2 linked regions of the Nothobranchius furzeri genome follow. The protein of the gene in region 2 interacts with the protein of the main gene of each other region in a pairwise test. Links are inferred from orthologs where the notes say so. Each region holds a gene or a part of one and is shown on either strand. Other genes may lie near its edges. The genes, in order: pfdn4 and vbp1.

Evidence for each region.
Region 1: the proteins of vbp1 (region 2) and pfdn4 interact in binary tests that used the Homo sapiens proteins (3 or more experiments, as listed by UniProt). The link is inferred for Nothobranchius furzeri from reciprocal best matches to the Homo sapiens genes VBP1 and PFDN4.

The regions. Positions count from the first base shown.
Region 1 is NC_091755.1:40,018,537-40,035,075, forward strand, and holds pfdn4 (prefoldin subunit 4), read right to left. Parts: upstream 9,692-16,539; 5' UTR 9,677-9,691; coding exon 9,563-9,676; intron 9,225-9,562; coding exon 9,117-9,224; intron 8,641-9,116; coding exon 8,500-8,640; intron 5,375-8,499; coding exon 5,243-5,374; 3' UTR 4,885-5,242; downstream 1-4,884. UniProt on the Homo sapiens protein: Binds specifically to cytosolic chaperonin (c-CPN) and transfers target proteins to it. Binds to nascent polypeptide chain and promotes folding in an environment in which there are many competing pathways for nonnative proteins.
Region 2 is NC_091742.1:80,073,561-80,090,064, forward strand, and holds vbp1 (prefoldin subunit 3), read right to left. Parts: upstream 9,798-16,504; 5' UTR 9,760-9,797; coding exon 9,643-9,759; exon of another isoform or gene 9,524-9,642; intron 7,716-9,523; coding exon 7,591-7,715; intron 7,451-7,590; coding exon 7,384-7,450; intron 4,404-7,383; coding exon 4,305-4,403; intron 3,683-4,304; coding exon 3,544-3,682; intron 1,202-3,543; coding exon 1,125-1,201; 3' UTR 459-1,124; downstream 1-458. Other genes in the region: E3 ubiquitin-protein ligase TRIM39, read right to left, coding at 13,475-13,846, 13,925-14,100, 14,255-14,281. UniProt on the Homo sapiens protein: Binds specifically to cytosolic chaperonin (c-CPN) and transfers target proteins to it. Binds to nascent polypeptide chain and promotes folding in an environment in which there are many competing pathways for nonnative proteins.

The sequences.
Region 1 (16,539 bases), on a different chromosome or scaffold from region 2:
ACGAAATTTGGTACACTAATGTGGGGTCTCAGGACCTACAAAAAAGTCTCTTTGAGCCAAGTGCAAAGTCGCACAGGAAGTCGGCCATTTTGGTCCAATTACTCGATTTAGTGGTTTTCACACACGTTATTAGGAGAATGATGTCTCGTCGTCCTTTCCACCTATCACCTTCAAACTCCTGCTATATAATCTTAAGACATAGAGGAAAAAATTCAACCGTCGGATTTTATACAAGTATAAAGGTGTGGGCGTGGCTAAGCCTCAAACTTTGACCTTTCGCCATTACATTACTTGACTTAACAACTCCCATGTGCATGATCAGATCTATATCAAACTCCGTCTGTGTGATCATTGACCACATCTCAAGACAATGACAATGTGGACAGCTGACATCACCTATGCCCCGCCCCCTGACTACAGGAAGTCTATTTTTTAATGGTGAAATGCCCATATTTGTCCCCTCTACTTTAGTCAACATGACACTAAGGTCATGCACTGTCTTCATGATGTTGTAATGACCATTCAGATCTGATAGCTTTTCAGAAAGGGAAGGGCTTTGATGCCACGGCGAATTCTGGCGTGACGCCGTGACCTTACGTTTGACTGTAACTTCCACTAACAACCTCCGATCTGCCCGAGACTGAACATGGCAATCAACAATCATGCCCTTTATTCAACGAGGCACACACCGTTGGTGAAAGTTGTGTAATGTCACCACAGCGCCCCCTACACACCATTAAAACTGTAATAACTCCTACAGACGAGGTCGTAACTGCACCAAACTTGCTATGTGTACTCACACAATGGCACCCACCACAGTCCTGTGGTAAGTTGTTGATATTGCTTTAGCTCCGCCCCCTGACAGATATTAGGCCCTTAATAACACATGCATGATGCAATTCACACCAAACTGCACACAAATGACTGTCATCAACCTACAAACTTCTTCATGGAATAATTCTTAAATTTGGGACAGCGCCCCCTAGATACAAAAAACCTTTGTAACTTCTGCAAAAAAGTTCCAAACTACATCAAACATTGTGGGAGTCATCACACATCTGCAATCAACACATGTATGTGATCACTTGTTCAATTCACTTTAACTCCACCCACTTACAGCTTTTTGTCTCTAGATGACCCATGCAACGTTTGATTGATTCCAAATTAACAGAAAACCATCTTTGATGACCAAAGATGACCTCTATGGCATTTACTTGTAAATGGTCACAACGCCCCCTAGATGGGTTCAAACTTTATTAACTTCTAAAGTCAAAGTCAGAATGGCATTATACTTGGCTTGTGACATCACGTGACTGCACCAAACACATTGATGTGGTTGTTGATTCAAATCCCTGTAGCTCCGCCCCTTTCAGCTCACTGGCTTTAGCTAACACACACAACGTCCGTTTGATGCCAAAATAACAGAAAACTGTCCTTGTCAACCAAAGCTGACCTCAATGGGATTTTTCTGTAATTGATCACAGCGCCCCCTAGATAACTTTAACTTTCGAAAACTTTAATAAATATGGGCAAAAAAGCACTAAAGTTGGTCTGTGTCATCACACCAACAGTGTGCTAAAGATAAAGTATGCCCTAGTGGTGAGACATGTAATATAATGGTAGGCTCGGAGGGGATGCTGATTCAGGGTGAGGTGTGGATGAGGTGACTGTTAGCTTTTCTTGGTGTCAGGGTGGTGGACGTTTCAGTCCGTGGACGTGCCCTGGTGCCCCGTGCTGCCGGCCAGGACGGAGCGGCGGGGAGTTGGGTTTGGAGAGCATCGGGGATGGAGCGGAGGGGGTGCGGAAGGAGGGTGAGCATCTTCGCTGCGAGGGCCGAACGACGCTGCTTGCAGCTTTAATTTGTATATGTTTTCATGCTGGGGATGCTAAACCCCCAGTCACTAGGTGGCAGCAGTGCTCAGACTATTCAACAGGCTGCCTGTTTAACCTGAAATGAAAACAGATGCCTCATTGGGTGCTGGAGGGTGTATCACCATCACCGCCATATTGGGTGGGTCTCTTCACTTTCCAAACCCATGTGGAGTCACCGCAGGATGAGCAACTATGCCTGTTTACCAGAAAGAAAATTGTAAGAACATTACAAAATAAGATGAAGGCCTCATAATGGCTAATTTAATAGATTTCCCTTCTCAGTCCAGCATTAAACTAACTGCTGGGAAAATGACTACAGCTCCACAATAAGAATAAATATCAGTTACAACTAATGCACCTGTGCACAGGTGTTTCTAGCATAAACCTGTGTGCATGCCCTGCACCTGGGTCTGTTCAGAGTAAAAGAACAATCTAATTAACCTGCTAATATATAATTGTGGGTAGCTTGGTTAGCTAAGCTCTTATCTGAATCACAATCATTTTATTGCCAAGTGAGCAGTTTCACATGACCAGGAATTTTCATCAGTGGAATGGTGCACACATACAAATTAAGGCAAGTCACAAAATTAGATAAGAAAATTAAGAAATAATGGGAAATGATGCACTTGGGGGCAAAAAAAAAATGCATATTCGCTAATGGAAGGGAAGTAATTGAGAAATACTGGCCTAATCCAACATGGCCACCACAGCTAATCAAAATGAAAGAAGAAGAAAAAGAAGAAAAGTTAACTTGAATAGCTGAAAATGCTGTAATTTTACGAGTTTTGTAGACATTCATTTGAAATGAGGTGAGATGGGTGAGTCGTTCTCATCATGTGGTTCAGGTTGAACTTCTTTCCTTAAAACCTTTGTTAGAAGTTGGGGTCAACCCTGGTTTTCTGAACCACTGGATGGGTTTGAATAGACCTCAGTGCACAGCACTCTTACACTGTCAGTTCTTTCATTTCCTTAATGATATTTTGATGTTTTTCACATTATGATCTTTTTGTTTTGTTGATCTTTCCTTCTGTGATAAGTGCTACAAAAACGTAGTTCTTACTCTGGTCTGCTCAGAAGGACGCTGGGGCCCCACGGACCATAAACCCAGGCTAATAAACATGTTGACCCAACATCATTTTGTGGTTTGCCCCAAGAAAAAAATGTGGCCAATCAGAAAGCAAGGTGACTGAAGCAAGCTTCACAGAGCAATGCAAATCCAAATCCTCGTCCGCCATATTTATTTCTTTTTTTGTGCTTGCATGTCCCATAACCTCTACTGTACCATCAGAGCACTTGTTCCAGAGCAGGAAACATTGCATCAAAGCCCTGGGAAGCCCAGTGGTGAGCATGGATATGCTCACTTTCCTCCTTATCAACCACATGCTCCTTTAGCATGAGTTACGTAGCTCACACACGAGACGTTGTGGATGTTAATAACTGCTGTTACATGTTTTATAGGAGTCTGCTTCCTTGTTTGAGATATTCACTATTATGCCTCGTTTTGGGCTTATTTACCTTTATAAAAGGTGAAATCACTGAAATGTAATTTTTCTCATCCTGTTTTTGCAAAACTGAAGAGTTTGCTTGCACTTAAACGCATTTTCTGCATTTTTAAGGACCAAACTTTTATTTCATCATCAAGAAAAGGAATATTTTGCTTAAAGTCAGCTATAGGGTAGCTTAGAAATCTAGGTGAACTGTAGCAGTAGTAAAAGCTTTTGCTCTGCAGGTCAGTCTAACGTGCGCAGTGGTTAGCACTGTTCCCTCGCAGCACGAAGGTTGCAGGTTCGAAACTCGGCGGCGGCCTTTCTGCGTGGAGTTACGTGTTCTCCCCATGCATGCGTGGGTTTCCTCTGGTTTCCCTCACAGATCACAACATGCCCCATAGGTTATAAATTGTAAGTCGCTTTGGATAAAAGCGTCTGCCAAATAAATAAACATAAATAATGTCTTTAATTACTTTGCTTGATTAATCCTCTAAATAATCACTAGTCTACTCGATTACTGTAATAATCAACCGTAAGAAACGTAGTCTTAATAAAAATCCTTGTGAAATAAAAAAGAATTTTGCTGTTTTGGGAAAACATTTGCAGATGATCTGTGAGCTAGATCGTTTTAGTCCAATAACACGGGTGTTCCAGACATCCCAGAGTAATGACACTAAAGGATGGAGCAAAGGTGACAGAAGAGTTAAGTGCTTTAGGGTTGCAGGTACGAGTCCCATCTATCCCTGTTGTGTCCTTGAGCAATACACTTTACCATCCATGCCTGCCGGTGGTGGTCAGAGAGACCGGTGGCACCAGTTTACGGCAGCCTTGCTTCCGTCTGTGGGCCCCAGCACGTGGCTACCATGTAGCTCATCACCACCAGCATGTGAATGTAGGTGGGTGAATGGCTGGTAAGTTGTAAAGCACCTTGGGGGGCGTAGAACCCAACAACCATTTATCATTATAACCATTTATTTTTATGGGGCGACGGTGGCACAGGAGTTAAGTGCTCGCCCCGTAATCGAATGAAACAAAGATGGCGACGGCTCATGTGAAACCGTTTTGGCATCATCTTTGGAGCATTTTTTCATCTTATGCGACAGCGTGTGGCGGACTGCCCTGTTGACCGACATCCGCAGCGGTGAGTCCGTAACGTCGGTTGTCCAGTAGCAGTGTAGATTCTGCCCTGCCACTGAGAGCCGTCAAAGGGTCATGGACAGACTGGCTCGCCAGGCTAGGAGACCACAACGTACTTTAGAAATGTTCCTCAATTGAAATCAGACCTGAGAATCTGATTTGACACGTAAAACGAATGCTTGATCCAGATTGCCAACAGTGGCCTCTGCTGTTGAACAAACGCACATAAAAGCCCAGCTGGAGTGTAATTCTGGTGGAGCTAGCATCATGATTTCTGTCAGCCTGGCTTTAAAGTGGTCCTGAAGCTTAAAACCGTTCTGGGTTTTCCTTTAACCGTTGCAGCTTTAGTTGTTCATAAGGTGTTTCAAAAAGAAAACTGACGTTAAAATAAATGTTTTCATCCATTTATTTATTATTGTTATAAATAAAAGGAAGATTGTTTAGTTAGTCCTGCCTCTGTGACATTTGAGCCTAAAGATTTCATAATAAAACCAGTTATTGATCTGATTTGGAAACTGTGTCTTCAGTTTGATGGACAGAAGTAACAAAACTACGGAGCACATGAACAAATAAATGTTACGGATTCATTTAATGACCAAATCTGTACAGTTCCTGATGTTGTGAGGCAGGTAAACGCATCATCAGAGTAAACAACAGCCAGGAGAGCAAACAGAAAACATGTTTTGTTGGCATCAACCAAGTTCTGAAACCAGTAAAAGTCCGTCCTCTGTCAGATTCCAAACTGTTTAGCTCTCATCAGCCTCCAGATTGATGTTATTTCCAAACTTAGCGTAGAGCTGGACCTTCAGATCACCCAACACCTGCTGAATCGCTGACACGCGTTTCTCAAGGCCTTTGACCTCCTGCTCCAGAGTTTCCTGTTGACAGAAGATCCACATTTCAGTTAACCACCAAAACGGTTACGAGTAGAGCCGAGTTCTGACACATTTGGTAGGCACTACTGATGAGCCTTTTCAGTGCCAAATTTGAATACCTTCTGATAATCGTCTGTTATTGAGCCGCACATGACTGGGGTCTCACTTACATGCAGCATTACTGAGAGAATGCAGAAAACAAGCCACGGTGTAGCAGCGTTTAATGAAAGTAAATGGCTGTGGTGAGATTTGTTGTCCCTTCCGACGAGAGGAAATAGTTTTTTTATATTCTGTCTCTTTTGCATAAGGAGTTTCTTTCCTGGTCCTCTGAGTTCATGTTGATGTAAACTGCCTCCGCTGTGGACAGAGACACTGGTACTCATACGGTTTCCATGGTGGGACTGAACCTTGATTAGAGGTGTGAATCTTCACTTGTCTCCCGATTCAACTCGATTACGATTATTGGGTCAACGATTCAATTCGATTCGATATCCCGATGCATCACGATTAGGGCTGAAACGATTCCTCGAGTACCTCGAATAATTCGAGTACAAAAAATCCTCGAGTCAAATTCTCTGCCTCGAAGCTTCGTTTCATTCATGTTTAATTAATTCATGGCTTTGCAATCACCCGGGGTCATGTTTCACCCGGACCGAGATAAGTGACGCACATACACACTGCACTGAATGCACACGCGAGTAGCGAACGCAACTTAACTTTCTCTTAAGCCATGGCGGACAACGTGGACCCCGGTGGAGGGTGAAAAAGACAGGAAATGTCAAAGTTGTGGGACCATTTTTCACGTCGTAAGGCGGAAAACGTAGTCCAGTGTAAATACTGTAAAATGGATGTAGCCTACCACAACACCACATCCTCCATGCTGCAGCACCTGACCAGGAAACATCCACATGTAAATGTCACTTCTGCAAGCGAGCCTCTACAAGATAATGCATTTTAGCCTGTATTTCTATATATTCTGCAGACACTGTGCGACGTTTTCATTTGTAGCGCTCAGTTTCAGCTCACACCGTACGTCTGGTAGCAACACGTCGGTCTTAAAACGTGCTAAAAATAGCAGTTTTTACAACACGCCGATTTTTTACTGTGTTGTTGTCGATGTCCGTTGTCCCTCGGGATTGCTGCAGGAGGACACGGGTATTTATGAGTGGCGGAGGAAAACGAAAGGAAGTAAATAAATGTTGTGTGATCAGTATAATTTGACAAAACCACGGCAAACACGCTTTCTCGACAATCCTTGTTAGTGTGAGACAAATAAAGTAGAAATTAATACGGACGTGTGTTAATAGGGAAACAGCTGGCGAGCCATGTTTGCGCATGCGCCGTGAACGGTTCTGGTTCTGTCTGGGCCGCAGCCGCTCGCATTTGTTTACTGTGAAGTAAAGTTGAAGTGCTGAAGTTTTGAAAACTAATTTTGAATAAAACTTGAAGAATAACTGGCAATTGCTTTCTCATTTCAAGAGGTCTTTCATATTTTATAACATGCTATTTGATATAATGGTTTAAAAACACAAAAGAGTAATTTATTAGAGTACTCGATTAATCGATAAAAGATTCGATAGAGTACTCGATTACAAAAATATTCGATAGCTGCATCCCGCATCACGATTATTTCATATTAGTTTGTTTTCATCGATAAATGGAAGATGTCAGATAATTGCTTTTTAGTTTTATGTTTTTTTTATCAAAAGCGTAATCGACACAACCTGCTGTCCCTCAAAATCTCTCCATTCACAACAGGTTAGGACAAAACATTTAAACATTTAAGAAGATTTAACAAAGTAAAACATCTGTTTCCTCGTTCAACACCACGCCTCAGGCTGAGAAGAACACGCTTTGCAAAAACTCACAAAATCTAAAAAAGTACTGAAAACCTACAGGAAACATAACGTAATAATAAAATCCATAATGGGTTCATATATGAGTGTTTAATGTCTCTGAGCAGCTCTAGAGTCCGATATTTATGCCACAGTTGAAGGGTGTCAGAAATAACACCAAATGAAATGTTTGACTTAATTTCATTTGAACCCAGTGGTTCATTTCTGAAATGTTGGAGAATGAATCAAGTTCTGTTTGATGCAGAAAATAATAAAACATAAAACAAATTCTACACTTCCAATAATATTTAAGATGTGTGTTTTATTCTTTCTGATAATAACACCAGCAGAAGGCTGTGGGCTGGATTAGGATTAAATTACCCAGCTGATGGAGCTCCTTCACTAACCAGCTAACTAACCTTTCCACTAACCTGTCCTGTGGGACCCTCACCATGTGACCCTCATGTCCATGCTGTCTCTGGAGGAGCAGATGGGAGACAAGACCTCCTGTAACTTAAAATGAACCAAAGCTTCCTCCCAGCTTCTCTTTAAGCTGAATTTAACATCAAATTATCATCATGACACAAAAGAATAAAGTGGAACAAGAACTTCTATCTTCTATCTCTCTCCTCTTAATTTCTCCGTGTCCCTAAATAAAAGACGATCACGCTGCAGCCACCGTCATTGACCCCGCCCCCTCCCCAAGACCGGATCTCCCAGCATCACAACACTCGGTCTGACTGAGCGCTTCCAGGAGAAATAATAATTAAATTATGAAAATAATAACGCGTGTTTGGAGCATCGGTTTGGAGGAGCGTCCTCCGATCCTCTCTCTCCCTCTCTCAGTTGCTGTGCGAGCGGAGCGCGCCGTGTGACAACCCACTCAATTGACGTAATTCAGGGCCCAAATCCAACAGAACTAGTCGGGCTGATTCGGTTCCGGTTCGGTCTCAGGTTAGAACTCAAGCGCTCAGCCCTGCAGAACCACATTAAGGCGGAACCACTTGGTAAATGTGGAGGACGCTCACTCTGACAGATTTGGACGCTGCGCTGGTGCCGCTGTTAAAAAAACAAAACTACATTCCACTATAATCGATGATGGCGTACTCTTCTACGATGCAGAATCGTTTATGTCCGCATCCCGATGCATCGATTATTTTCCTCAGCTCTAACCTCGATAGTTCCGGGTTTGTTTCGACACCTTCGAGCTGCACAGCGACTTGAATTCGGTTTTCTCTCTGATGTTTTAAGAGAAGAGCAAAACGAGTTACTGAGTTACGTGGATCCACTCACTTTAGCAGCTTCTAGCATCTCTTGTGTTTCTTCCTGGGAGTGGCTGATGAAGACACCACCTATCTGGTAGGGGATCAACAGAGTGTCGTCGTCTAACAGCATCAGGTCGTCGCTGGCATCCTGAAGGTTCTGCAGCGTTCTCTGAAAGAGGACACCACACACAAAGCAATCGGTGAGGGCAGTTCATAGATTACTGACTGCTCCAGTAGCTCTTCCAGGACACATCAGACTCCTTACACATTAAATAACAGGGTTCTACATCAACTTGCGTGTATGACTTTGGCATTTTAGAGGAAACTGCCGAAGTCAAACCCCACCGGTGTTGATCTGCATAAGTGGCAACTGTTCCATGTAGGCACTGACGTTCTGGAGGTTAGAGCTACCAGTGTGCCTCTGAGCCACAAAGCCACCATCTGATGGAGGTCTGAGTTTACTCTTTAAAAAGTCATGTTGATCTTCCTTTAGCCAGCCAGAAACAACAAACACTGCGATCAGTTCCTGACAGATGTAAGAAATCTACTCAACATTACCCAGGCTGGATAAAAACCTGAAATAAGCCAGCATCGGGTTAAGGTTACAGGAAACGAGGATGCTTCAGCAGAAAACACCAAACTCACCTTCTTTGATTCGATTTCATTTTTGAGCTCCGTCATCCGACTCGTGTTTCTGGCGAATTTGTTGATTTTCTGCTGATCTTCGAACGTGACAACCACGTCTTCAACAGCCTGCAAACCGGAAGATGACGTTAATTGTAAATAACTAAACATTTCACAAGCGCACCGGGTCTGAGGTCCGGTCGACTCCCACAGAGCTGGTTAGTGACAAACCGATAAACCGTCGTCAGCTTCAGCCGCTGCCCGGCAGGGTGGTTGTAGCCTCTGTGCTAGCTACATTAGCTCCACTCACTCACATGAACGGGTGGTGAGAATGGTTAAAATAAACCCCAAAAACTGTGACTTCTGACATCAAATACTCCTCTGCTGTTTCCATTCATATCTGCGACTAAAGCGGCGCATGAATTTAATTACAGGAAAACGTAAAATTCCTTTAAAAACGAACTTACAACAGGACTCTTCATGACGGTAGCTGCCATCTTGACTTCTTCTGCTGTTGTCAGAAAGCAGCGCTCAATAGAGAGCCGCTGCGACACCACCACCTGGCGGTAGCACTTCAGCATTACATGCTGTGCGCATGTGACAAAGATTGAATACAAATACTTACAGAGTGGTCTTTTTTAAGTATTATTAACCAAATAATGACACAGATCAATGATGATACAATGATACAGTGCTCTGAAGAGACCCCCACACTAGAGAAGTGGTTCCAACAAATTCCTGGACAAACATCTGACAACTCAGTCTGGAAGAGTGCAGTTCTAGGACCAGCTAAGAACCTTCAAGCTGCCAGGGGTCTCATTTATCAAACATTGTGTAGAATCCTTACTAAAACCGTACTTAAGCTCAGCAAAAAAAAAGTACTTATGCCAAGTAGGTTTGTGATCTATCAAACATGGAGTACACACAGCTGCACGCAATTGCAACTTCATAAATCAGAGACTATCTAGATAGGTTCTCAGCTGCTTTTTAGTCACATCCCGCCCTCACCACGCCCACTTACTGCCATAAATAGTCAATGCAAAGTGCCTTGTGGATCCCATGCGTATACATAAGCCGGCTGTTGCAGCGCTCCGCCAATGACATGGCGACCGTAGATCAAGGCAGATCAAGAAAGCGCTATTACACACAAGCAGAAGTTGAGGTACCTGTGGGTGAGGTGGAGAAATGTAAGGAAGTACTTTTGCAAAACAAATAAGAGAAAATCCACGGAGTGGCACAGCGTTGCTGAAGCCGTCAATGCTGAGTTCTTCAGAGAGATCTGTGGCTGATATAAAAAAATGATCCAATCAGGATTCAGTCCCCAGACTCCCAGGCAGCGCTGGACTGACCATAGGGCATAGCGGGCAACTGCCCGCTGGGCCGACCCTTTCATCTTTTATGGGCCGGTGTCTGTTTTTTTTTTGTTTTGTTTTTTTTCCTGGCTTCTAGTTGTTGCGGACAACTTGTCCGCGCCACCCCACGCGACGCCTCGTAAAAGTTGGTGGATTGGCCAATTGGTAATAATACACTCTGGGCTGGACCAATAGCCAGAGGTCTGATGCACCCGCCAGTTGTTTGTGAATCTCAGTAAACAGACAGACGAGCTTTACAAAATGGAGAACAAAAAACGGAAAGGAGGAGCGGAGAAAATTCGACTAAAAAAGAAACTGGCCCTTCAGGCTGATGCTGGCACATGTGTTAAAATCTCACAGTTGTTTGGTAGTGAAGGTTCAAGTAAAATCAATTTAGGAAGTGATGGAGCCTCAGCCCAGCGACAGGTTGGAGAAGAAAAGAGGGAGGAGGAGGAGAAACCCGAGCCGGTGTTGTGCCATAAATTGACTCGCTGCCAAAAAATGATTAGCCACCGCGGGATCGCGCACGGTTAGGTAATTGCATTTCTAGACAAAATTCCCCAGGATTTCGCCCTAAAACTCGGCATATCTAGCAATATGGACATTCAGAAAGCAAAGATAACCTCTTTCGGTACTTAAACAGATGTTTATCGCGGATATTAGTGTGGCAGTGTTGGTGGCACCCTGCGCGGGAGCACGAGGACGTCCTTGTGGAAAGAGGGAGGAAGATGCGGCTGTGTGAGCGTCCTGTCACAATGTCCCGATTGATCATGCGCCCTGGCTAGTGGGCTAAGGAGATGCCTCTTTGGCTGACTGGTTAGAGCGTATGACTCTCACCCGGGAGTCTGGGGATCGAATCCCGCCTGGGCACTCCTTTCTGCACCTTGCCACATTAGTTTTTCCAGTTCGGAAGTTGTTTTAAGTGTTGCTATTTGTCTTAAACGTTCACAATGAGGATATATTAATCCTTTTTGCAATATTTGCGATTGAAAGATGGTTTGTGCCACAAACTTTGTGGTAAGAACTGGCTTTCTTTATGTTACAGCCTTGATACTAAAAAAATAAATAAACAATGTAAAATGGCACCCTGTATTGAATGTAAACGTTGTATAAATGGAAATAAACAATTCTCCAGCAATTTAATTTTTTCCCCTTCCTTTCTTTAGTCCACTTGACATGGAGCCACAGTTAACTAGTTTGGGGCACATTTTTACTTGAAAAAAAGTATTTAAAATGATCAAGCTTTGGCTTTACAATGACACTGTGTAGGTTGCTATTCATTACGTTGCTCTATTTAAAAGTAACAAGATAAAAGCACTTCAGCACATAAAATTAAGATTGTCACGTGCCAAATAGACTACACCCTCCCGTTTACCTATAAGAAATGCATCAAAATATCTTTAAATTCTTTATTGATGATTTAATTGTAGACAGCTAAAATGGCATTTTACTTGCCAAAAAGTGATTGAATCGCTAAGATTTTCATGGAGGCTGAAATTGACCAAATAAGCGTTTTATGTATTATCTGTTGACGTTACTGTACTCATACTGCCTACTGTGTCATCAAAAACACCCCAAAAATGGCAAAAAAAAAAAAAGAAAAAAAGATAATTTCCCTTGCCAAAAATTGATTATAGTGTCCTGGTCACGTGTAAAGGGTTACATTTACCTAAATATTACTTTATTTATTATCTCTTGATGTTATTAATGCCATCACAGGATGCTGGGTGTCTTCCACATTCATAAACACCTAAAAAATGGCAACAAATGATAATTTCCCTTGCCAAAAATTGATCACAGAGTCCTGGTCACCCATAAAGGCTTAAATTGGCATAAATATTACTTCATTTATTATGATGCCGGGTGTGTTCCACAATCATATTCGAATAAACATAAAAATATTCCGTCCGAATATCTGTTTCTTGTTATAAATATAACAGCTAGAAGGATTTACAGTTAAAATAGGAGAAACACGTGACTCCCCAGGAAGGGTCGTAACACCACTTGCCTCATGCACATAAGTGAACAAATCAAAGCAGCATGGAGACACTCCGTCTCCAACCACCTCTCAGGCAGCAGCCTGCACTCCCAAGTTCTACACGTCACCAGAACATAAACAACCGCAACACAATAAAAGCAGTGTTATACAAAATGGAAGGCCTGTAGTGTTTATTCTCTTACAGTAACAACTTATCAATTTTTTGGAGGAATTTATTTGAGAATTTTTTGGTTTTTATTAATTGTGCAATAGAAAAGTAATCACTAGATTAATCATCTAAATAGTCATTAGAATAGTCGACTATTCGATAAAATAATCGTCAGAATAATCATTTTAAAAATAATCAGTTACCCCCAACCCTACTTTTTAGAATACCAGGATAGGAAGGATGGTGTAGGTTTACGTTTATTAGATTGATACATAAATACTACCAATAAGAAAGTGTACGTTGGTGTGTGTCAGAAACAACATAAGGCTTAATGTCTTTTCCAAAAAAAAACAGGTGATGGGCCGGTCTCCAGTCAAAATGCCCGGGCTGAATTTTTGTCCCAGTCCAGCCCTGCTCCCAGGTGAAAGTCACATGCGCTAACCAGTCACCCAAACAGAGATCTCCCTTGTCCAAGTAGCCAGGGTGCACGATCAATCGGGTTATAGTGACAGGACACACTCTGTCTCAATCTGTCCCCCTGCTGATATTCTGCATTCCGTATTCTGCGCTTCAGGCTGTGTGTGTGTGTGTGCATGCGTGCGTGTGTGAGTGTGCGTGCGTGTGGGGGATCTTGTTCCGTGTGAAAACGAAGCAGTACAAGTGATAATGCTGCAGGATTTCATAACTGTATCCTTCTCAGCAGCAGCACTGCAGGTGCTCTCCATGTCCAAAATGTGCGTAAGCCAGGTCCTTAGTTAACTTAAAGTTGTGCACATTTTTCCGCTAAGTTTTCTGTCATTAATCCCACAGTTTCTGTGGAAAGTTGCTCGCGCAGTTTTCGACCCCATTTTGTGCGTGAGCTAGCTTGATAAATGAGGCCCCACGCCTCTGGTAGAGAACCCCAGCTAGAGATGAAGAGCCACTCACCCCGCCCAGGGGAGGGAAGGGTTGGTGAGAGAAGAGTTGCATGCTACTTTACATACATGCATGAGAAATTGGGCAGACAGCTTAAATGGCAGCAACATGTGAGGTCTTCATGCTGATTTTAATCTCTACATGACTGATTAAAGAACTATTAGCCTATCTCAGGTGATTTATCTGAACGTTCACCTGACTATCAAAACAGATTTTTAAACCGGAACTGCTGCTCTGTGCATATTTAAAAGGCAAACAGGACTGCACCCAAGATCAAATATTTACTGAACACATGTGTAAGGCAGTAACACCAGGCATACAGAGTCTGCATCCATGAAAACAAAGAGTGCTAATTCTCCAGTTTTCTGTTTTCAAATCAATGGCCTTTTGTGAGTATGATGCCTCCAATAAAACCAGTAGGCTGTAAAGCGTTGGTGCGTTCATGAAGACTTTGCTTGAAGTCCCTCAGCAGCAGCCTTTGCACAAAGTCCAAACTAGGGAATCCGACTCCCACCCCAGTGTGCGGGCAATAGGCTACAACTGGGCTATTGTCTCCAAAAATTCCACAAACTGTTGTAGGAAATTTGATAAATACTGCACGCTTTCAACATTTTTTCCAGCAAAATTTTTTTCTCACAAATCCCATGATGCCTATGGCAGACTAAGAGGATGTCACGTTGAACAAATTTTCAGAATAATTTGAAAAAAATAAATCATCCAGGGTATTTTACTTTCTAAACGTTTCATTTTAAGTCACGCACTGGGATACAGCGGGATGCAAACGTTTGGGCAGCCTTGTTAACCCATTTGTGCCCAAATTTTTTTCAGAGTTGTAATGCATATCATTTTATCAGTTAAGTCCCTCTGAATCATGTTATATCATTTTTTTTCAATTATATACTTTTTTTGGGAAGAAAATGGCATATTTATTGTTGCCAGTGGTCACACAGCTTGTCAGTAGGTTAAATGTCACCTAATAATAGGAATAGAGAAGTAATAACAATATCGTTATAACCAGGGCCGACCCTGGGGCATTATTTTCACTGGGCAAAATTTTTCCTAGTTTAACCGCACCTAAACCTTAACGTTTCACTTTTTATAACCTTCCCCTCTCCCTCATCCTAACCTTAACCCTCTTGCTACCTAAAACGTTACTCTCACTGTGATCAAGCGTTTGTTTCCCATGCATTCTGACTCTGACAGTCAGAGTCTGACTGTGAATTTTCGTATTTGCCGCCCAAGGGGAACGTTAGAACATACCATCTGGCGAGGGGAGGTTACACATACCCTCTACTTTTAACCTCCACCGTGGTAGTTGAAACCTCCCCCTCGCGTTGGCTCGGTCCAAACCCGACCAATGACGAGGCGGCTCCCGCCCTTCGCTTCATAGAGCAGGCTTTTAGAACGATCGACACATCACTAACGTGTTCGCTAGCAAGATGGTTAAGGTTAGGATAGGGGTGAGGGGAAGGTTAAATAAGAGGATAAGGTTAAGGTGCGGTACAATGAGCTTGTTTGGTGCCCTGGCTGCGGACATCCCATCGCGTCAGTGTTACGCTGCATTGGGATCTGCAGTCAAATAAGGGAAAAACCCCTTTTCGCACATAAGTAACGAAAAAGGGCCCTTTGGCGTCAGGGGTCCGACGTGGAGGGTGGCTGACAAAGCGTTTGTTTTTGACGCGCTGGGAGTGAGAACGTGTTGAGGAGACACACGCAGTGATATCTGAGAGGTGAAACAATGTTTATAGGATTTACAGAAAGTGTGCAACAATTGCTTAAACAAAATTAGGACGGTTAATAAATTTGGGCACTGATGTCATTTTATTAGACGTTTTTACAAAACAATAGCCCTTTTTCCATTACCGGACCTCCAGGGTAGTTCCTGCAACGGGAACATTGACCAGGTGATAGGATGTCCCAGTCCTCTCAGCTGATGCATTCAAATCCAGCCCTTTCAGAACTTTGCACAAACGTCAGCATATCGCGACTGCTTTGACTGTGAGTGATGACACTGATCAGTAACGTTAAAATTATTAACCATTTATTCAGTCGAAGCGTTTCGTACTTTCATTCATTCAGAGGACGTGAGCAGCTGTATGGTGTAAAATGTTGTGTTCAATGACCAGATGAAGTGCCGTTTTTTACTGCGCTCTGTGAGAAAACAAAGCCCCGTTATTAAAGCCTAGGTTATACTTCTCCGTCTGTGTTGAGACAAACCAAGCCCCCACAATGCGGCTCTAAAATTGGTCCCAACCCGGAAGTACCAAAAATTGCAGTTCCACCCTCATCCACTAGGGGCTGGTGTCAGAAGCGAGCAAATCCTCATTGACTCCCATGTTAAAAATACCAATTTCACAGCAGAAATAAACATATTTAGAACCTGGTACCAAAACATGTTTTTGGTTTAAATGATCTAGTTTACACTCATGACAACTCTGAGGGGGGTGAATTTTTTTCTCACTCGTCTGTTTAAGTGTATTAAAAGCCTAAAATTCTGTATATTAATGAGCATCAGACCCACGTGACCACAGAGCTAGCTCCGTGGAAAGGCCTCAGTAGAGCCTCGGTCTGGCTTGGAAACTGCTCCGGGATTTTGAGTCTCTGTGTGTGTGTATTCTTGTTTGGATATTTTTTGTGCAATTGTTGGACAAAATGACTTGCTGTGGCATTAATTGCACCAATAGAGCGTCCAAGGAGTGTCCACTTAATTTTTTTCGGTAAGTAAAATTATATTTATGTATTTTAGGTCACTGCCGAGCTGAGCTTAGATTTTAACATGTACTGTTTAACCATGAAATTTAAATGTAATAGGGTAAATCCCAGTACATTTAACACAATGCTGCACTTTAGAAAATGGGTTGAAATATAACATGTTGGTGGAGCTGGATTCCTACTATCGGCTTGTGGAGCTCTTGGGAGACCAATATTTTCCACCCGTTCTCCCCTCCCCACAGCTCGGCGCATCTCTGTCTGATCGCGGCTTCTGTCTGCTGCGCGGGCTGTCGGCTTGTGGAGCTCTGGGATGGAAAC
Region 2 (16,504 bases):
ACCCTAACCCCATTGAGAATCTTTGGGATGTGCTGGAGAAGGCTTTGTGCAGCAGTCGGCCTCTATCATCATCAATGCGAGATCTTGGTGAAACATGAATGCAACACTGGATGGAAATAAATCTGGTCACATTGCAGAAGCTTATTGAAACAACGCCACAGCGAATGAGTGTTGTTGTCAAAGCTAAAGGCGGTCCAATGAAATATTAGTGTATCTCCCTTTTTTGGTAACGACTTTTTGTGGGACTGGGCAGTGTATGTATTAATAATCTGTTCACATAGTTTATCTCAGTACAAATATGAAAAAGTAAATATTTCAGTTGTATATGTACAAGATAACCTGACCCATGAGAGAAGAGACGGTGTTTACCTCATCAGAACCAGAATTTCTGAGTCTTGTGAACAAACACTGTTGCATACCTTTTATCTGTTCAGATAAACCACACCAGGTCTCATTGCTTCATCTAGAAGTTCCTTTTTTAACTTCACTCTTTAATGAATAAAGACAAATAAATACAGAAGAGAAAGATGTGGTGAAGTGTAGAAGGCTAAAGGACGGAGAAGCAGCAGCTCTGAAGGACCACTGTTGATCATGTGAAACCCCAGCGAGTCTCAGAAAGTGACAAAGAAAAGCCACAAGCCAAAACTAGTTTATTCTGTGTTGACAACCATCACACTACTGTCAACTGTTTGCTTTCCATAACACCGTCGTCTAAGTGTTGCAGGAAGGAAAAGATGCAAAAGAACCCTCATTCATAATCAAAAATAAAAACCTGAATCATTAAAAAAATACAAAACTACCTTGCTGATTTTTTTTGTTTGTTAGTTTTTACTTGAAAAAATAGTTTAAAAGTAACAAATCAACAGAAAACAGTAGTGGTGGAAGTCTGAGCTCAGCTCAATGGAGGAGACGTTGAAAATCTAGACTGAACTGTGACATGGACTTGATGTCTAACTTTGTTTGACGCTAAAACAGAAAAATCTAAAAGTTTGAACATTCAAAATGAGCAGAACTGTTTCAGACGTGTCCTCGTTGAGCTGAGCTCTGGGGCGAACACACTTAGGGATGGTTTCTACTTTTAATGATGAGAAAGGACGTTAGCAGAGGGGGGCAGTCCTGTTAGATTAAGACTTGTCTGCAGACTTCAGGAGGTTTTCTTTGCTCCTCCTCTTCACGTCCCAGTTGTAGACCCGTGCCATGTCTGAGGGGAGCAGCGAGTTAAGAGAAACCAGAAGGTTCACCGTGATATAAAACACAAAAAAAATCAACCTAAAGGGCCATGTCAGCAGGTTTCTGAACCACTGTAGCTTTAAATGTACTTTTGTTGGAACCTCAAAGGGAAGGTAGACACGCCCACCAACTCCAAGGTTTCACCTTTTTTCAAACCTCAGGGGTGCTACATTTGATCTAAAAGCAAAATGTCTGCTTTTATTCCAGACTGCAGTACTAATCTTAATGCAAGTCAGAAGACACACATCAGTAATTAGATGAATGATGTCGGTAAGTAGCAGAGATGCACTAAAAATCAAAACCGGTCGATAAGGATGGGTGATACGTTAAATGTTTTCAAACGGTCCAAAACGACTATGGGTGACGTTTGTGGGCCTGACACACAACAATCCAACAATCGCCATCAGCCTTACCACATTTGCCAAAGCCGACCTCGAGGGGCTGGTTAAGTTAGAGGTAGTCGTTTTCTGGATTTCATCGGCTATTTGCCAATTCATCAACATACTTAGCTGCAATTGGTTTAAACTACACATGTGAGAAGGGGTGTGTGTGTGTGTGTGTGTGTGTGGGGGGGGGGGGGGGGGGGGGGGGGGCACTTCTGACCCACCAGCTAATCACTGAAGATTTTGCCCCAGGAGAGGGGGCAACCATCCACCCAATGAATGATAGAAAGTTTGAAGTTATTATGAAGGTGCCTACGGGGTTTATGGTTAGAAAGGCGCATCTGAAAGAAATTCTGTAGGGTTTCAGAGATCCGTTAGCTTTATTTATTTATTCTTTTGTGGATGAAAGACTTGTTGTGAGCTAATTATTTTATTGGAGTACTTCTACTGGACCGTTGTGGATGTACAAATAACTGTTCAAGATTGCTCTATTCTGTCAGTGAAGAGGCTTTGAACTGTAAGCACCATATTTAGAATTTCTGAGTGGTGTAACAAGCTGTTATTGTGTCTACAGAACTGGTTAAATCTGTAAACACCATTTATCGACCGGAAAAGGGTGGCTTGCCAACTCCGGGTCGGGGGAGAGGTCCTACCTCAAGTGGAGGAATTTAAGTATCTCGGGGTCTTGTTCACGAGTGAGGGTAGGAGGGATCGGGAGATCGACAGGCGGATTGGTTCGGCGTCTGCAGTGATGCGGATGCTGAGCCGATATGTCGTGGTGAAGAGGGAGCTGAGCCACAAAGCCAGGCTCTCGATTTACCGGTCGATCTACGTCCCAATCCTCACCTATGGTCATGAGCTTTGGGTAATGACCGAAAGAACAAGATCGCGGATACAAGCGGCCGAAATGAGTTTCCTCCGTAGGGTGGCCGGGCTCAGCCTTAGAGATAGGGTGAGGAGCTCGGACATTCGGGAGGGACTCGGAGTAGAACCGCTGCTCCTCCGGATCGAAAGGAGCAAGTTGAGGTGGTTTGGGCATCTGGTCAGGATACCTCCTGGACGCCTCCCCGGGGAGGTGTTTCGGGCATGTCCTGCCGGCAGGAGGCCCCCGGGTCGACCCAGGACACGTTGGAGAAGTTACATCTCCAATCTGGTCCGGGAACGTCTTGAGGTCCTGCCGGAGGAGCTGGTGGAGAAGGCCGGGGAGAGGACGGTCTAGAGCTCCCTAGTTGGGATGCTGCCCCCGTGACCCGGATAAGCGGAGGAAGACGACGACGACCATTTATCATTGGAATCACAAGACTCCCAGCTTTCTAATGATGTATTATAATATGTATATGTACATTGAAAGACTGTTGAGAAAAAGACGCTGATTTGACGAGGACGTATGCAATTTGTACTGCACTATTACAAAAACAGCCTGTGTGACCTCATGTGACCTTAGATAAAATGAGTTATCGTTTAAAACTTGCTGAATCTTTTGGTAAACAGGGTAAAAGTGGCTATAATTTCCCAGTCTGAACTAAATAAATGTTGACCTTCGCAACCTCTGGAGCCGTTTAAGTTTCCTGTGGATCTGCTGAGTCACTTCAACTCAAACCAAACAAAGAGTTAATGACTGAAACAACACCCAGCTGGAACAAATGTTACCATCTAGGCTGTTCTAATATGCAATAACAATGATCACATTTCTTCACTTACTTTAATTCCCACCATGTTGTTCATGACTATAAAAACACTGCATGTCCTGTGACTTACTGAACCAGTGTCACCAGTGACCTCCTTCCTAATAAAAGGATAGCTAATGGAATTATTTCTGATCTGAAAAGGTCATTTCTCTTTTGGTCAAAGTCTCCAAATCTTCCCTCTGATCCATGTGGCCATCCATAGACACAGATCAGTGAGAGTGGACCACTCAGTGGAAGGATACTGACTTCAGTGGTGGTGAACTGGTCTCGCAGGAAATCCAGATCTTCCTCGAGGGTCTCCAGGTTACGAGATGCTGTGGACAAGTTCTTCTCCAGGAGGGCCTGGGCTTCGTTGATGTCATACTCCAACATGACGTTAGCCTTTAGGGGAGAAACGTTTTGGTCCTCTTTAATGTTCCATGATATAATGAGTGATCAGGTTTTAATCTAACCCAAAGTCTACAAAACACAACAGATTCGACATCATTATTTAATAAACTATAATAAAGTCAAATGAAGTCCAACGGAAAGTGGAAAATATTGATTCAATGATCATCTTCACCTCTACAAAGGTGTATTGGTCTGGAGCATACAGGTGTGTGTTAACATCAGAGAGAAAAGTGGCCTAAGGGATGGACGAAACCAAAGCAGACATGTTTAGCCATAATGTATAGCACTGTCTGGATAAAACCAACCACAGCACATTAGAACAAGCCGTGGTATCAGCTGTCAGCACGGTGGTGGAAGACTGATGGTTTGGGTTCATTACAGCCATTGAGTGGATCATGAACTTCTCTGTAGACTAAAGTGCTATAGAGTCAGATGTGAGTCCATCTGGGTCATAAACATGAACAACAATCCCGAACAGCTCAATAAGCTGGAATCTGTTGTGTGGTTGTCCCTTTGAGGTTATTTTAATCACTTCAGAAGCTGCAAACACCAGATCACCACTGTAATCGAGTCAAAGACCATAAAACCAGACATCATCCTGAGTGCTACTCACCCCTAACCATAAAGAAACTTTGTCAGTGGGCGGCACCGAGGCCTTACAGTAAACGTTGTCAGCTAGGAGGAAGTGTGTTTCCATTCGCTCCGTAGTTTCCTGTGGGAACAAAAGGTACCACAATAAATTAAAAAAGGAATTCCATTACCTATGTCCTTTAGGTCTAGGGGTAGAATCAGCTACTTCATGATTTTTTTCTTCTCAAACGAGGTTAAATAATATTGAATTCACAAAAGAAAGAAAACAACAAAAGTAAGTAAAAAAAAAATATATATATATACAGTTGTGGTCAGAAGTTTACATACACTTATAAAAAATATAATATAATGGCTCTACTGAGTGACCCGTTATTTCTAAAACTCTGATTTTTCTCTGATAGAGTGATTGGAACAGATACTTCTTTGTCACAAAAAACATTCATGAAGTTTGGTTCTTTAATGTCTTTATTATGGGTTAACAGAGAAAAGTGATCACATTTGCTGGGTCACAAATATACATACAGCAGTGCTAATATTTGGTTACATGTCCCTTAGCCATTTTCACTTCAATTAGGCGCTTTTGGTAGCCATCCACAAGCTTCTGGCAAGCTTCTGGTTGAATCTTTGACCACTCCTCTTGACAGAATTGGTGAAGTTCAGTTAAATTTGATGGCTTTCTGACATGGACTTGTTTCTTCAGCACTGTCCACATGTTTTCAATGGGGTTTAAGTCAGGACTTTGGGAAGGCCATTCTAAAACCCTTATTCTAGCCTGATTTAGCCATTCCTTTACCTCTTTTGATGTGTGTTTGGGGTCATTGTCCTGTTGGAACACCCAACTGCGCCCAAGACCCAACCTTCGTGCTGATGATTTTAGGTTATGTTGAAGAATGTGAAGGTAATCCTCCTTCTTCATTATCCCATTTACTCTCTGTTAAGCACCAGTTCCATTGGCAGCAAAACAGCCCCATAGCATAATATTCCCACCACCATGCTTGACTGTAGGCATGGTGTTCTTGGGGTTAAAGGCCTCACCTTTTCTCCTCCAAACATATTGCTGGGCATTGTGGCCAAAAAGCTCGATTTTTGTTTCATCTGACCACAGAACTTTCCTCCAGAAGGTCTTATCTTTGTCCATGTGATCAGCAGCAAACTTCAGCCGAGCCTTAAGGTGCCACTTTTGGAGCAAGGGCTTCCTTCTTGCACGGCAGCCTCTCAGTCCATGGAGATGCAAAACACGTTTGACTGTGGCCAATGACACCTGTGTTCCAGCAGCTTCTAATTCTTGGCAGATCTGCTTTTTGGTGATTCTTGGTTCACTCTTTACCCTCCTGACCAATTTTCTCTCAGCAGCAGGTGATAGCTTGTGTTTTCTTCCTGATCTTGGCAGTGATGAAACAGTGCCATGCACCTTATACTTACAAACAATTGTTTGCACTGTTGCTCTTGGGACCTGCAGCTGCTTTGAAATGGCCCCAAGTGACTTTCCTGACTTGTTCAAGTCAATAATTCACTTTTTCAGATCCATGCTGAGCTCCTTTGACTTTCCCATTGTAGCGTTTGTGGGCGTTTGTATCCAATGAGCCCTATTTACCTGGCCTAAGAGAAGTCACCAGCTGTAGTCACTCATAATCACTCACAAGAAGTTAAGAGGCCATGCTATGAAGCTCAGTTCACTGACACGTTTCTAAGTCAACAAAATTGCTAGTTCATGTTGCTGTATGTATATTTGTGACCCAGCAAATGTGATCACTTTTCTCTGTTAACCCATAATAAAGACATTAAAGAACCAAACTTCATGAATGTTTTTTGTGACAAAGAAGTATCTGTTCCAATCACTCTATCAGAGAAAAATCAGAGTTTTAGAAATAACGGGACACTCAGTAGAGCCATTATATTATATTTTTTACAAGTGTATGTAAACTTCTGACCACAACTGTATATATTAAATGGCCTCGCCATATATGACTTTCCAGCTTATATCAAAGAACACAGACTAAAATAGTTCAAAAAGGCAAAGAAAGAAGCATACCGTAAATCCTCTAATATTGGCCTGTATTCAATTAACAAGCTCCTGCGTGTCGGGAGGCAACGCGCTGTGCCAGAGCGTCGGTACTGACACCCGCCGTAAAACGGACATTTAACCAAATTGTGACGTTTACCCTCTTGCAATTTAACCTTCCCCTCACCCCATCCTAACCTTAACCAGCTTGCGCATGCAAAGCTCTGATTGTTGACGCACTCCAGACATCTGCGTCCTGAGCACGGCTACAGTAACATTATCAAATCAAGTGTCGCCACCTCAAAAACTAATTTAACACGCAATCGTTCATGTCGGCTCATTTCCTTTTATGTTTTCTGTCTTTTATTCTTTTATTTGTGCCTGATGCTTTTAGCTGCTGTGGATCGGGGTGCATCACCTGTTTTGTCCTCTGTGACGCACCGATCACTGATGCGGCCGGCAAGCAGCGAGCACTCCGCTGTTTTTGTGGTCGGTAGATCTTTTAGAACTGCAGCTCAAAGGTAACTCATAAGGTGAATATATATGAACCCAGGTAGCAGTTTCTCTTTAGGATTGAGAGGAGATGCAGGAAGATAATAAACAGACAGGACAGAAAAATAGTCAAATAAAAACAAGTTAGTTTTTGTACCTGGTGGTTGCAACAAACAGACACCATTGAAGGTAATCAGAAGTGAGGAACAGAAAATAATTATTTTAATGTTTAGAGCAGCAGGAACTCCGAGAGGCTGCAGGCGCATCAGTGAGTTTGCACCGCTGCGCAGGGGGAGAGGGCTGAAGCAGAAACTACCGTTGTTAAAAGAAATGTGTTTAACTTTGAAAATGTGGGCGCAATTCTAATTGTCAAAAACTCCAGCGAACCATTAGTTCATTTTGCTCAAATAGAAATTGAGGCCTGCCTCTAATTCTGGTCCTCCTTCCAATAAAGGCCTGGAGCTTGATGAGCTTGAGTCAAATACAGACCCGGGCCTGTATTAGAGGATTTACGGTAGCTTATTTCACCCATCCCTATGTTGTCATTCTAGAGGAACTGGAGAAGACTCACTTCCAGTATGGAGCTGGTTTACAGAACTTCACCCACCTTTTTCTTCTGCATGTGTCGTAGGATTTCTAGCGTCTGTGTGATCTGTGGAATCTGGTTTTTCAACCTATTAAATAAGAATGATTTTAGTTAAATAAATAAGCATCCAGCTTTCCTACTTTACAGATCTACCAGGTGCACACATATCAATTCATGCACGTATTAATGTAACCCGAATAACTCGTAGTGTTTGTATTTCTGTTTTACCGGAGTTTCTTCTGGGACAGGTTGAGCTCCATGTACTTATATTTCTGGTACTGCTCATCCAGCTTCCTCAGAGCAGAGTCTGCCGTCTCGTTGCCAGGCAGCTTCATAAAAGAGTCGACATCCTCCTGGAAAACAGCAAACAGGGATTAAAAAACAGAAAGGCCTATATAACTACTCCACAAATGAGACTTTCAATACCACAAAGTCAAATGTCTAAAGTCTCAGTGAGATGTGTTTGCAGCGCCGTCTGGTGGACAAAATATGAAATTACACTTTTCTGAATTGGCCTTTGTGTTTTTAACATGGAAGCACAAATAAGGTCTTACCATTTCCTAAAATACTTTTCCGTTTGTTATACCTATAAGTTCAAAGTCACAATAAATGAAACCATAAAACAGGTTAGTGAGAATTAAAACCCTAAATTAGTGTCAGATTAAACAAATAAATGTAACAAACCAAAAAAATTACAAACATTTTTATAAATACAAATATAATATAATCTTTTGTTTAAAATAAATATGATCTTTTAGCTTTTCTGTTAAAAATGAGAAAAAATGTGTGATTTAACAGTTAAGTACTTTTCACAGAAAGTTTTGATTGAACAGTTTAAATTTGATTTGACAGCATCAGAAGTAAATCGCCTGGGCACTGGTAAAAAAAAAAGTTACTGTATTCTATAAAATGGTTTGATGCACAGATAATAAAAGAAAAAATCTATTTATCTCATTACATTAATGCATTTGTTGTGTTAAAGACAAAGACAAAAGAAAATGAGAATTTCTATACTCATGTAAGGTGCTGTAATCTGAGAATGTGTCCAGGTGTAAACCTTCCTCCTGCCATGAAGAAAAATCACTGAAGTAATTAATAAATTACCCAAATTGTTAATATGATGCCGTTTATCCACTCATCGTAACCAAAGAACATCACCTACAAATCTGGTAGCATTACAAGTATCTATAATTTGATTTTTAACCCTTTTAGTCTGTCATTGGTATTTTTCATTCATTTACACATTAAACATAATGGTATTCTGAACTTTTGATCTAATTGTGACATTATTGTTCACTCCAATGCGTGTTATTTTCCCTTCATATTAGGGCTGAAAATGAACTCAATAATCAAGCCTCAATATATTGAGGTTAAGAAATGTACAATTATTATTGAAGTGCAGTTTGGTTCTTGACACTGGATAGGCCATTGTATTTGTTGTTTTGGAGACGGGGTCTACGTTATTGTTTTTGGTGCAATATTTTCTAAAAGAGTGAAAGCACTTTTATATTTATTTATTTTTTGTTTGTTTTATTTATTTAGAAGTTCAGGGTCTGGACATTCCCATGTTAAATAAAGGTTTAATTGTTGCATTTTAATGGGTGTCCTTGCATTATTATGATATATTAACATTACATAAGTGGTTATTTTGGTCTTGATAATGTCAACAATAATATCATTTATCGTCAATAATTTGTTGGACAATATATCGTCCAACAAATTCTGTTATCGTCCCAGGCCTACTTTCTATCTTTATTTTTCTGTTTTAATTTAAATGAGAATCGAATCAAGATAAATTGGCCAGATTATACAAAAATCTCACATTTTTAATACCATCTCAAAACATTAGCAAAGTTAATATCATTAGCAGATTAAAGTGGAAATCTTTCAATGTAATATTTAAAAAAATCGCTGAGCTGTGCTCGTTAATGCTCTCTATGACAGGGCACGTCAGACAAGATGCTAGTACTGTTCTGAGTAATGGACAAGCTAGTTAGCTAGCTAGCTAACTAAAGACACAGTTGACTCTGGCAGGTAAGTCCAGCTGAAGGACCTCAGAAACACCAGGTGAGCTGAATATTACAGGCAGACAGTGATGTCCATAGATGGAAGCGAGCAGCCGCCCAACATGCACACACAGCAGGACACTCTGTTAGCTCACCTGCTAACTTAGCCTCCTAGCTGAGTCAGAATTGCGCCGCTGACAAACCGGTCACACCAAATATACATTACATCCGTTACAAACATGTAACACCGTCAGAAGCGTCTGGTTATACGCACCACAAACACTGCTTCGGGGATACCGAGGTGCTTTTTTTTGTTCGCCTGTGAAGCATTGCTGTTGTCTATGGTCGCCGTCATGTTGGAGAGGCTTCTTTCGTCCTGACGCACGCGCATGCGTACAAGAAGTCGGAGTGGTAAAGGGGAAGCTCTGCTGCCTCTACTGGGGACCCACTGAGACTACAACATTTTCTGTCCTTTTTTTTTTTACCTCCACCAAGGAGGTTATGTTTTTTACAGTTATGCAAAAGGAAATCCGCTTGGATCTTATTTTGAAATTTGCCAGATGCTTTACACAATTAGCCACACTATACTCTGTGTTTGATTCCCTGTCTTGCCAGGTTTGAACTACTGATCTTGATGCATACTGGAAGCATAGTACATAAATGTAGACTTGGCATGACACTACACTTCTGGGACGCATCTGAAATGTACCGGTGTGTGCCCAGTGGAGACAAAGTGGAGACAAAAAGAGACTATGATGGTGGCTATTAACTGTATGTTGCCCTCACGCACTGAGTAGAAAGCCAGAGTTAGTGCCTTGTTCACACTTGATAAAAGAGATAGGCAGATTAATTGTGTTTCTTCTGCAGGACTGATGGCATTGCTGGTAAATGAGCTGAACTAAAAAGGTAGAGGTCTCAAGTAACTGGTTCAAAACAACAGTAGAACTCAGGGCTATGTTTACAGTGAAAGTAAGAGCATTCCCATACCAACAACGTGAAGGGAACTCAAGGGACTGCAACAGCTGTGTACCCATAAGAAAATCACTAATCAGTGAGGCTAACTGGTAAAAAAGGCTTTACTTTGCTAGGGAGCATGAAGATTGGACTAGTGGAAGGTCATGTGGTCTGATGAGTCCAGATGGACCCTGTTCTAGTGATGGGTTCATCAGGGTAAGAAGAGAGGCGGATGAAATAATGCACCCATCATGCCTAGTGCCTACTGTACAAGCCTGTGGGGGCAGTGCTATGATCTGGGGTTGCTGCAGTTGGTCAGGTCTAGGTTCAGCAACAGGATGTGCTCCAAGAATGAGGTCAGATGACTACCTAAATATACTGAATGACCAGGTTATTCGAACTTCCCTGATGGAACGAGCATATTCCAAAATGATAATACCAGGATTCATCAGATAGTGAAGGAGTAGTTCACACATCCGGAAACAGCAGGAAGGAAAATATGTAAAAGAACCCTTATTCATAATCAAAAATAAAAACTTGAATCATTAAAAATTTTCTCTGATCGGCAGCAGACACAGGCCTGCTGTGTGAGGCTAAGTAGCTCAGAACCAGACTGGTAGGGAGGAAGAGAGCATCTGGTCTGATAGGAGAAACAATCTGCACATTAACAATGAAGGTAAAAGAAAATAAAGGAGATATCATGGAAGATTTTGTACCTATTAAATGGAAAACTTTAAGATGTAATGTTAATAATTTAGGTTGACTGGATATCTTGATACGTGTGTGCAGAGGTGGGAAAGGAGTAAACTACTTGACTCAAGTTTAGTTTGATTTTTTTTTTCCAAGTTTCAAGTTTATTTATATAGCGCCAAATCACGACAAGAGTCGTCTCAAGGCACTTCACATGGTAAACATTCCAATACAGGTCAGTTCATTAAGCCAATCAGATAAACGTTTCCTATATAAGGAACCCAGCAAATTGCATCAAGTCGTAAAGTCAGTGATTTTACAGCAGGGGTGGGGAACCCTGGTCCATCGAGGGCCACTATCCAGCATATTTTAGTTTCAACCCTGCATTATCACACCTAATTTCAATCAGCAGGTGATTAACAAGCTTCTGCAGAGCTTGATGAGCTGCAGAACAGGTGAATCAACCACTGAATCAGAAGTGTTGGAGCAAAGACATGCAGGATACCGGCCCTCGAGGACCAGGGTTCCCCACTCCTGCTTTACAGCAATCCTCACACTAAGCAAGCATTTAGCGACAGTGGAGAGGAAAACTCCCTTTTAACAGGAAGAAACCTCCAGAGGATCCTGGCTCAGCATAAGCAGCCATCCTCCACGACTCACTGGGGATCGAGAAGACAGAGCAGACACACACACACACACACACACACACACACACACACACACCAAATAATGTTTCTATGGTTACATTGTGATTTTAGTAAATATCCTTTTTGGTGAGATAAACTTTATTGTATTTATCCTAGTGAATCTACTTTATTGTATTTATCCTAGTGAATCTATAATTAGACAGGCAAACTAGGAGTAGCACATTCAATGTCTGTTGTTCAGTCATGCACTTGTAGCCAACATCATTTAACTCATCAAAAGATCTAAATGAATCACTCAGACCTGCAACGTGAACATAGATTTTATTGATAAATGACTCGCATTAATATAGTGCCTTTCAGAGTCCGAGGACTCCAAAGTGCTTTACACTACAGTGTATCATTCATCCATCCATTCACACGATGAGCTGAGATGCAGCCACAGCTGTCCTGGGGCACAGTGGCGGAGGCGGGGCTGTCGATCACAGGCGCCACCAGTCCCTCCACCAGCAGACAGGGTGGGTTAAGTGTCTTGCTCAAGGACACAACAGCAGCATTTTCTGTCCGGAGCCAGGATCAAACCAGCAACCTTCCGACTATTCGACAACCCGCCTAATCTCCTGAGCTACTGCTGCCCCCGTTATTGATCCCACAGTGGGGAATTTCACTAAGGCAGCACACACACTTAGAGAATTGGGGGGAAAAATGATACAAGCAAATACACATGTGGCTGAGGAGAGGGAAGTCTGGGCCTCTTGACTTGGGCTGCTGCCCCCGCGACCCAACTCCGGATAAGCAGAAGAAAATGAATGGATCGCAAATCTACCTCATCAGCAATTAAAAATTAATATAAATATAAAAGTAATTCATTGCTACAAAGGGAATTCCATTTTCTTTAAATTATGTTTTTATATTTTGTCTGATCAGAAATGTTCAGAAATGAAATACGGGCCATTTAGTAAAAGTCCTCTAAGGTCCACATGCAAACTGTATGGAGATTAACAAAGTGCCCATTTGAATCAGTGTTCAACTCGAAATACTTTTTTTTAGACTAGTAATATTTTATATATATATTTCTACTTTTTCAATTTAAGATCAATACAATTTCTGATCAATCCGTTGCACGATTAATGGAGCTCAAATCTATAATATCTTGTGAGTATTTCCAACAGCACTTCTGATGCATTAAAGCCACTCCTAGAAATCTCTTCTACCCTCTAGTGGCAGACCTAAGTACTGCACAGTTGGACATTTTACTACCAAATTACAATATTCACTTTTATGGTGACCATTTTATTAGTTTATAAACTAAATTGACTGATTTTATGTTCTAAAGGGTTAAAGAACACAGGCATCACAGACTATTCCAAACAAGTTTTATTTGTAAACAAGCACATTTCATGTCAGCTGCATGAGGCTCCAGCACATGGTTCAATAAGCGAATGATAGTTTGCATTTTGTATTCGAGTTTCTGACTGCATACTTTCTGCAGGAGCAGCCATCATCACGTGTGCTGGACAACAACCTCATTAAGATGCAAAGCACACAAAACTCCATCTGACAGCTGGTGCTGATGCAAAGATGTTGCAAATCAAACTAAAGATGGATGAATGGATGATCCATCACTCATTAACCATCAGTAATACCTCATCTCTGCCTTCACACAGTATGTGATACGGCATGACAGTTCTGTCTATTATAAACTGTCTATATTTAACACACTCAGCTACTGTTTTACATTCACACATCTATATTTATCTATATTCGTCTTTAAACAGAGTGTGCTCTGTAGAGGACGTCCTCCTGCTCCAGAACACTTTAAGGCTCCTGACTAACAGCTGTGATCACTAGAGGGCCCGTGTTCCTCCCTTCATCTAACACCCCTGGGCTAAAGAAGGGGAAGATCTTTTCAGAGAACAAACACCCAGAGAAGGTGTAGATGTGGGATCTGGCCTCCACGTCAAAGAACGAAACCGTCCTTTCCTCATAATCTGTAAACACCCCCACAGTCTGAGGCATTTCCCTGAGAGAGAGGAGGACGGATGGGGAGTCCAGAGCTCGGTACTCGTTACCGTTCCTCAAACGCACCGTCCAGTAGCCGTTCTCCGGCTTGGTGGTGATCATGCCTTTCCTGTTGACGGATTCTTTGACCACACCCAGGTCCCAGAAGGTCTTTTTCCCCACAGCAACCTGATTTACATTCAAACAGATCGTCAACATTTCACTTTCCCGCCAAACGTGGAGTTGTTTAATCTGTTCAAGGTCTACCTGAAAGAAGAACCTCCCAGACTGGAAACCCTTCTTTCCCAGAACGCAGATGACCGGGTCGAAGCGTTGGGGCTTGTCGGGAACAGCGTGGAGCTGCTCACCTCGGCCAGCCTGCTTCCCATCAGCTGACAGGACGATGTTTGGATGGGCCGTATCCGGGTCCAACTCCACATCAACTATAGAAATGAAATGCAGTTCTGGTAATACTTCCACCCAAGCCAGAATTACTTCCCACAGCACTTCCCGTCAGGAAGGCTGAATGGTTGAACTAAAACACATCAGGAGCAAATTAGCACCCAGGTATTTATGTAATGTCAGCGTTGTTCTTACCTGCATGTTTCTGCATTCTTCTCATCTCTGTTAAAACAAACATAAAAACACAGTTCAGATGGATCCAGGAGAGCAAAACAAAATTTCTTCTGGACTTTTAAGGAGAAATAAACATCAACGTCCTGACCAAAGCAGTGGCTGTTCCTTCCTTTACCGGAACAGCACACATAAGGCATGTTCATTTGTTGATAGTTTCCATACAAATAATGTTTTAACTGTAGAAAGTGCATAATTCCATTAGTCAGTGGTTAAACTGTTAAAAAAAAAAACGAATCGGATTCCTAAACCAGTTCCAGCTGGAGAAATAAAATTGTGAGAAAACACAAATATTCAGCTGGAATCGGACAAAATTGTGACGTGCAAGCTTTATCAGTTGGTTTCATCTACGGCCGTGTAACAGAAGATTTAATTCAATTTGGAGGAGCTTCACGATCATCCGTGATGGATGTAACAGATGTACATCATCTGCAAAAAGCTCGTCCACGAGGTTCCCAAACCAGATCCACTCTTCTCCATGAACACCAAAAACAGGATCAGACACAAAAACATCCCTACTTCAATACAGTTTTTGTTTTGGTCAAACAGAGCTGGACAGCCATAGCCCAAGATGACCCACTGAGCAGCTCTGCAATATCTGGCCCTCTGTTCCATAACCAGCATGAAAGCCCAGTGCTTCTTTTGAATCCAAACTGTAACATTTAAATTTAATGTATTTGCAATTTCATTTCTGATCGTCCCCTAAATTTGTCTCACATTTTTTAGATGGGTTCAAGCTGTAAACTAAAGGTCTCGTGACTATGTTTTAGTAGGAAATATGCACATTTTGTAAAAGACGTACATGTTTAATAGACTCCTCGTAAAGATTTTGTTTCTTTACAACCCTTCTGCCTCTCCATTGGTGAGGATTTTGTGCAGGCCTTGACTGCACCAACTGGCTGTTCCTGTGGGTGCAGACAAAAATCCTCCTCAGTGAAGCTTCAAGCACACCACCTCCAGAGCTCCTGCTCGGCAGTTCGTTTCAGGATTTTAAACAGCTCTTTACAAGTAAAAATAATCTTAAACACCGAAATTTGTGTTCAGTCTTCATTTTATGTTGCGGTTCCAGGAGTTTGGTCACAAGATAAATAGGGGCTTGTCCGGGATATTTATCCTTTCCGTTTTTGGTCAGAGTATTTTGCATTGATTTAGGCCCTGTCCACACGTAGCCGGGGATCTGCCAAAACGTAGATATTTTTCTACGTTTTGGCCTGTCATCCACACGAAAACGGATCTTTTTAAAAACTCCGGCCAAAGTGAAGATCTGCGTTTTCTCCGTTTTGGGTGTCTGCGTGTGGACGGACAAAACCGGAGTTTTAAGGTCCGCAACGTCACTTTCCGCGACAAAAAATGCTGACATCACGTGTGCGACCTGTGTTTACACTAGCCGGCATCATGGAAGCCCTCAGAGCTGCACTCTGTCACTACCCGATCCATCAATTATCCAAGCGCTTTCTGCTTGTTTGTTTTTGCAAGCGGAATTACTGATCCTTGCGGAAGACCACAGACGAAGGACGAGGTTAAGGACGGGGGAAGTACTGCCGCCTACAGGTCTGGCATGTCCTTAACAACGTATTTATCCGGGTACGTGTGGACAGAGTTTTTTTAAACGCGGTGGTGTGGATGCAAGTTTTTGGAGGGGCGGTTATTCGTTTTTAAAAAACCCCGGCTACGTGTGGACTAGGCCTTAGTCTGTGTACAGTCAGCTATGTTTGAGGTGGAAGAATTTTTAGCAGATCCGTCTCAGTGAGCCTGCTGAGGGTTGCTGCAAACAGGACTTGGTCCAGATTGCGGATCACTTCGAGCTCCAGGTACAGTCAGCAGTTCCTTTGTACTCATTAAATGCATATAATCATGCATCTTAACATCCGGTCACAGGTGTATGCTACCTTCTTACAACACTAGCATAGCCAAGACATAACATACGTGGGACTTATCCGAGCTAGAGGAGGGGCAGAGGGGTGTAACAGTTTCACTGGGTCCAACATGGTGGACAACATTGCCACCACATGGTTGCGCTGAAAACTACAACTTCTCATCTCTGAATGTCAATCTGTTCAATATATGAACAGCTCCAGTCCATCCCAGTGACAAACAGCCAGTCACACATTCACTCACACCTACGGACAATTTAGAGTCTCCAGTTAAACATAAACGTGTGTTTTTGGTCTATGAGAGGAAAACGGAGCACCCAGAGAAAACTCTCATGCCAAC